2 linked regions of the Drosophila melanogaster genome follow. The protein of the gene in region 2 interacts with the protein of the main gene of each other region in a pairwise test. Each region holds a gene or a part of one and is shown on either strand. Other genes may lie near its edges.

The links. Proteins that work in one complex are often made in the same cells at the same time.
Region 1: the proteins of CG4066 (region 2) and CG9921 interact in a two-hybrid assay, tested with the Drosophila melanogaster proteins (one large-scale study listed by BioGRID).

Annotation. Positions count from the first base shown.
Region 1 is NC_004354.4:16,331,797-16,335,555, reverse strand, and holds the start of CG9921 (uncharacterized protein), read left to right. Parts: upstream 1-1,955; 5' UTR 1,956-2,181; intron 2,182-3,433; 5' UTR 3,434-3,602; coding exon 3,603-3,747; intron 3,748-3,759.
Region 2 is NT_033777.3:12,309,444-12,313,202, reverse strand, and holds CG4066 (uncharacterized protein), read right to left. Parts: upstream 1,851-3,759; coding exon 84-1,850; downstream 1-83.

The DNA.
Region 1 (3,759 bases), on a different chromosome or scaffold from region 2:
TTTACATGAATCGGGCAAGAAAGTGGAACTATTGTTGGAGAAAGAAGAAGCAGAGCGAGTAGCACCGGTTCCGTTTTGTGAATCGGATTGGATTGTCTTCATTTCGATTCCGATTCCAGGGCTTAAAGTGCAAAACCAGGGCGCCACAGTTACAAAACATGAATGAACCCATTCTTTTTGCCGAAAATAGCCCCATCCTGCTTGTCAATTATGAAAAAGCAAAATACACTTTCCTACAACAGCCAAAAAAAAAAATAAATAAATATTAGAGCCATTTTACGTGGGGATACATATGTATGTAACCACAGAAATATACATGTGCGCATAAATATTTGCATAGCCAAGTGTTTGCACAGCCATTCATTTGTATTTTATGCACACATGGATAAAAATAAGCCAATTTCGGATTACGCAAGCCTGTGATTTGGGTCTTTTCATATACAGGTTTTTATATGTGTATGTATTTTTTTTATGTACATCATATTTTCCTTATTTTTGCACATTGTATCTATTTACGTACATCAATAGGCATGCAAAAAAACGTGCATCGCATTTTGCCAGCATATTTCATAAGAAACGAAAAGCAATGCGGTTTACCGTTTACATCAAGGCATTCACGATTCTTGGTATAAATGTACATATTTGTATATTTATACAAACTAATAAGAAAAATGGCGGACTTGGATGCGCACGCAAAATACAATTTTGATTGTACAGCGTCGCTTTTTTGTTTGTATGCATACTTGCACATACATAGGCGTACACTTTTTGCATTTAGTAACATGCCGATTTACTTAATAACTAAAAACAAAAGCGAGACGCAATGGATGTACAAGCGCTTGCATGTACATACGTATGTAAGTATGTATGCAGCATATATATTCACAAAAAGTTTCCACTGCGGCTGAGAAAAGGCAATCAGGTGCCGAAATATCCAAATAAATAATAAATAAATAGGTGCCTGGCTTTTTTGTTAATTATACATTGTCGTTTGGCGGGAAAATGATTAAAACGCGGCAACCTATACATAAACGCGCCCATGATTGTATGTGTGTTGTGCCATGAGTGTATATAAATGTGTGTTTGTGTGTGCGTGCGTGTGTGTTTTAAATAAAACGCCGTATACCTGCACACAAGCTTACCTGTATTTGATGAAAGTGTTCCATAACTGTGAGATTTCGGATCTAGTCCGAATGTTTCAATCGTGGATTGGCTTTATACTGGGATTTCCGTTCTATATCTTTCACTTTTATTCCTAAATGGTTAAAGCATATATATTTAGTTTTAGCACAAGTACGTATGTATGTAATACGCACACCAACGCAAATTGGAGTCGAGTCTTAAGCCAGTTTTTTTGTCTGTTTTCCTTTTTTTAATACTGTTCTACGCAGTTTGTTGTACGTCGTATTGTATTGATTATTGCATGTATGTATGCATGTACGGCCACAAACGCGAATGTATGATGCACGTTACAAGGAAAAAAAGGAACACGGCACAAGCCAAAACTTCGAAATGAAATTCGAAAATTTAAGAATTTCACAATGCACGTTGTTTTTTTGTACTTCTTTTTTTTTGTCTAGGCCTTTTTCGCTTATTTGTTGTTTGATTTTATTTGTTTTTTTGGTTGGGAAAACGCGAAACGCGGGCGGCTTTGCGGATTTGTTTTGTCGTTTGTATTTAGCTTGTAAAAAATAAACAAACAGCGCTGCATACGCTGAGTTTATTGTATCGTATCGTATCGCTTGTGTTTTGTTGGTGTGGTATGGTATATATGCTATACAGTACACAGTACACAGCACACAGTATGGTATCGTATCAATGCGAATGCGGAAAATACAATATATGAGGTTGGTTCGCGCGCCGCTCGTACCAACAACGAATGAATTGAATTGAATTGCCGTCTCTGCCTTACCTTCTCACTGTGCTTCCAAATCCAAACGGGCGGATAAATGTGTATGCGTTGCGTTGCGTTGGACTGTGTGCGCAATTCTTTGCTGGTGTGCGTGTGTGCGGGAGAGCGAGAGCGCGAAGAGAGTCGTTATAGTCATTTTGTTGGTAGAATTAGTGTTGCTGAGAGAGCGCTCAGTGTCATATACATACATATGTACATACACGTGGTGGAGGGAAAAGGCCTTATAAAACTTTTTGGCCTGTTACTTTCATACAAACATACGATCACGGGTATGTACATAAACGCTGGCGTGCCAAACATACAAACTATGGAGTGTGTGGAGTGTGGGAAAAATACAGAACTGTATGTATGCATATGTACATTACACAGTTCTTAGGGCCAAAATTTATTTTAAACATACATATCTTATTTTTAACTGCCAGCTACATTCGTTAATGCGACGAATTCTACAAAACCGATATGCATCAATGCAAACACATTGATACATAGCCAAGCATATACAACTGTGCTCATGCTAATAGTAGTGCATATGACCGCCACTTTCTAAATTGATGATTTTATATGAATGCTATGTTCAATTTGTCAAGCGGTTTTTCAGAATGAATAAGTTCATATTAATTACTGAAATTATATGTTTTGTTAAAGAGCAGTGCAGGTACAAAAAGCCATTTGTAACTGCTTTGCTTGTTTTGCGACACAGAAGACGAAGCGAAAAAAAAAATTAATTAACAAAAGGGAATACGGAAAAAAACCGTTTGATGCCTTTCAGTGCTATTTCCACGAACGCAGCTGTATGTACATACGTGTGGAACACACAAACATATGTACATCGCAGCGACCCGCTACATACACATACACATTTTCATTTTGTGTGTTCCCGTCTGACTGTACTTTCAATTCGAATTCGAAAGAGAAAAAAATGTTCTCTTATGTTTTAAAACAAATTCTCCCTCAATTCTCTCTGTCATACAGAGAGAAGGAGTAATGCATGTGTGTATGTTTGTAATGTATGAGGTCACAAAAATCCAAAAAAAAAAATAAAATCTCAATTATATTGGCCATTAAAATTATTTATTAATTTTTCCATACTATACTTAAGATTTTCGCTTTAAAATTTATTTGCGGTTTTTTAAATTATTTGTTTAAATCGATTATTTATATATGTATATTTTAATATTTATTGACTTCGAAATACTTTAAAATACCAGCCCTGTTCTGGTTTCTTCGAATTAAAACAATATAAATTATTTTAAATGGTGAAATTAATTTCGTTCTAAAAAATTCAGGTATATTTATTTCTTAGGGAAATAAAGTATTATTTGCTGCTAGTTTTATTATGTTAAAAAAAGGTATAGACAAATTAGTAGATGTGTAATTTTGGTAAAGGGTGTGAACCATATCAAATGTTAATACATGTAATATAGTTATATTATAGCAAATATATTAAAAAAAAGAAAGAAAAAAAAGGCGTTGTTTATTTAAAAATAACGTTTTTCCATTCATGGCTTGTTTCAATCTCAGAACGTTTCTTGATGTTTGTCGTTTTGGAAGTCGTGATAGTTCGAGAAAACTATCGCTTTATTAGTGTGAACGCACGCACATCGTAAGCGTTGGTGTCATCTCCAATTGAATAATAGAATTTGACTTGCTTGATATTGTTTTACTAATATTGCCCGGGACTAAGAGCGATATGTCGAACAAAATTGAAGTCTCGCTTCCGGAGGAGGAACTGGATTGGATACAATTGCGCCAGGACCTGGGACCCGTTGCCGAGGTGGAAACGACCAAGGAGAAGTTGCAGCGCAAGATCAAGGAGAATCCGCTGGTTCCGTTGGGTGAGTGTGTTT
Region 2 (3,759 bases):
TCAAATTACTATTAATAAAATAATGTAAAATAAAATAAACTTAAATTGTTTCAGGTTCCATTCGGTTTTCGTTTCAAGTTTATTTATGCTGGTGCCACAACATTCCACGATGACTCCAATGCGTTATCTTCAGCACCTAAGATCTGTGGGGTTCTAGTTTTCCTACTTTGGTTGATATCTTCTATGCCCTTATAGCTTATAAAACGGGTCGGATAGGTTTCAGTATTATACTCCGCAGATCCGCTAATGGCAATTGCCAAGTCGGTGCGCTTTTGAGAAATGCTTAAAGCGTGAGTTAGATCATTGATCTCTTTGAGATTAGTGGGGGTCCAGGCTTTGATGACAGCTTCTACGGAGTAATATCTATTTTCCTGGGTCTGGTTGAACAAAGCCAATTGGTTATCTAAGAATGACAGTTTTCTGATGGAAGTTTTCGTTAGATTTCTAACCTCGGGAACGTTCTTTAGTTCAATTAGAGAATTAATTTGCGATTTGTTCAGATTGTCAAACGAATCCTCTAAGCTATTTACTTTTGGCTCGATATATCCAAGGAGAAGTTGATTTACAAAGTTGAGTCTGTCATCCAATCCTTTTGTTCTGCGCAGAATTTGTCCTTGGGTAACGTTAAGTTTATCTACGAGGTTCCTTACACGATCTTTATTCTGCTCTTGGAGCCTAGTTAAATCTGATACGGCTTCGATTGATCGGTTGGCAAAAATGTCTAAGTTCTGAAAAGAGGTGACAACGCCTCGAAGAAGTTCCACTTCCCAAAGCAGAAGTTCCTGTGTCTGGTTTCGGAGAAGTTCCTCGGTGACTTCGATTGCATCAAGGTACTCTGCCTGGTTGTCCAGCTCAGCGTCTATTTTCCAGTTAATTGCGCTGACAGCATCAAGCTGAGTATTAAACCGATCTAGGGCTCCTGCATTTTCAGCCAGGAGTGCAAGAATTATTTCTTCTTCTGATGGTTGTTCAGTGGTTGTAGTGGATTCAGTTGTGGTAGTTGGCGAATCTTCCGTTGATACCGAAGTTGTTGTGTTATTTGTTGTTGAACCAATTGTTGTGGAAACTGTTGTTGGTGAAGACGAGGTGCTGGTCTCAATTGATGTGCTCCTTGTAGTCGTGGAAGACTCGGTTATAGATTCTGTTGTGGTGAAATCAGATGTGTTTGGTGAGGAGGTGATAGAATCGGCTGTGGTTGAAGTAGTTGTGGAAGTTTCATCCTTTTTGGTGGAACCCGATGTCGTAATTTCGTTAGTCGTAGAATCGCTTGTGGTAGAATCAGTTGTTGATAAAGAAGTTAGTCTGGAATCTGTTGTTGAAGCTGATGTTGTCGGAACAGTTGTGGTTTCAGTAGTTGTAGAATTATTTGTGGTGGAGTCACTTGTCGATGGAGAAGTTGTGGATGTTGTTGTCGTTGAAGATGTAGTGGAAACAGTTGTTTTTAAAATTCTCGTTGAAGCTTGAGCTGTGGTTGAAGACAGGGTCGCAAAATCGGTTGTGGTAGATTCATCTGTGGTGGAATCATTAGTCTTTGAATGAGATGTGCTGGAATCAGTTGTTGTTGTAGCTGTCGTTGAAGAGTGAGTAGATATTGAGGCCAGTGTTGTGGAAGTCGTTGTTGTTAATCCGTCTGCGGTATATTCACGGGTTAATCCAGTCTTCGTAGAACTTGTGGGGATTGAAATTGGCGTGGCTGTAATGATTGGAACATCAGTAACTCCTTCGGATTCAGTATTGGCCACTTCGTCAATATCCTCAAAGTCCACAAATTCCTCCACTTGATTGAAGGGATCTGCTGCAAAAGCAGCCCCCGTAAAGATCAACAAAAGAGTTGCAATTGGAAGAAACATTTTCAGACCGCACTTAATGCTTGTTCTTATAAAAGAACTAAAAGTTTAACTGCCATTTGATGGCCTTCACCCCAGCTTAAATACACTTTACATTGCCGCCCACGTTCACGTTTCGGTCTCAGGTGGCAGGTGTGCTATCTTCAACCGCTTTCTGATTCTCAGCATTCTTTTTCTTGTACCGTGCACTTTTTCTTTTATCGGTTTTATGCTGTGCTTTATGGGTCAGCTTGTACAGCACGAGTTTGATGTTTGAAGAAGCCACCGATTCTGGTTCATTGTACTTGCAAATGTAGACAAAGAAAAGAAAAACAAAGAGACACATGGCTAGATTTCCACAAGCGACAATTGCGGAATATCCATCAATAGGAAAGCTAACTATTAACCACATAAAAGTCAACGCCAGTCACATGGGGGTCACACTCAAAGTCAAATTTTAATGAAAAAGTGATTCATCATTTAAGCGGCTGCATCAATTAATGGCCAACGGGGTGAGTGGGGCGCAGAAGGGCGGGCCCCTCAATAAGCGGGTCAAATTAGAATAAATAGTTACACAAACAAGCAGACCCCTTTGCTCTCTCTGGCTCGCTGTAAAGGGGCGGGGAATTATTGCAACAAATCAAAAAATTAAAAATAAATAAAAATGAATTGAATAATTTGGGTCACCAATATATGGCTCTCTCCCTGAGGCGCACAATGCCTACGGAATGGGTCGAGTCAAGATGATGGTGGTCGCTTTTGGTGGTTATATGGGGATTGGGTTGGTTTGGGTTGGGTGGGTAGCTTTCAATATTCCTCATTAATTAATTGCCGCATAATTCATGTATTGCATGCTGCATGGATGTACTCAGAAAAATTACTTAGGTATTAGAAATAAGCTCAAATTACAAAAATATTTTGTCAAGTGGAATTTAGAAAAAGTTACCATTTGACACAATTTTTTTGGGAATTCAGATTATTAATCAAAAGTAGTGTTTGATAAAAATTAAAAAATTATTAAATGAAATCACAGACATACATTTAAATAATTAATGTTAATGATTTATAGAAGTATATCTTGTGTTACAAATTAAATTTGGACTCCGATTTTTATCATCAGTTTTCTTTTCCAGTGTTGGAGAAGAACTTTTGATGCACGTTCTTTTCGCTATTGAAAACCATGAAAATATTTGGAAATGGGCCTATGTTTCGGGTCCGTTCCGACTTCTTATGCTGGTTGACATTTAAACCCATTTCGATCGCGGCAGTATGGGGCTGATCCGTTGGGTGGATGGGAAAGGGAAGAGGATGAGGAGCTGGGAGCTCGGCATGCAATTATGCATTCATCAAGATTATGACACGACATGCAAGTTCCTCTTGTGTCTTTAGCAGCAAATGAATTTGTACTTGGCTGTGGGTGTTGTTCTTGTCGCAGTTTTTGCTGTAGCCTCCAGTGTTTTGATAGAACAATTTTGCCGCGGGCCATCTATTTTTTTCCATTTTACTGCAGGCTGTGGTGGCAGCACACGCGATTTGGAAGCGGCGCGTAATTAATCGTCAAATGAGTTTAATTGTTTATGTCTCTCGGTCGCGTCTGTGAACTGAATGCGGTGTCTTCAGATGACTTTCAGATAGGAGATGGCAGAATGGCAGAGCACATCGAAATTTGGCTCACAAGCACTTAACTAAGCAGTTTAACTAATGGCCTGAGCTAAAAACAAACTGTGCTGCGGATTAACTGGATTACTTGTATTTAATTTATTTATGGATGCAAGCCATCTTTGGTATTTCCTAATGATACATTTTAATTTTTTCCGAACAAAGCTATCGCCTAACAAGCTCTATTAGTACGCGAAATTAGAAAATTACGAACCAGCAGCAGGGAAAATTAGAAGAGCATTTAGAAAAAACAATTTCAGCTATGCGGGGTGCA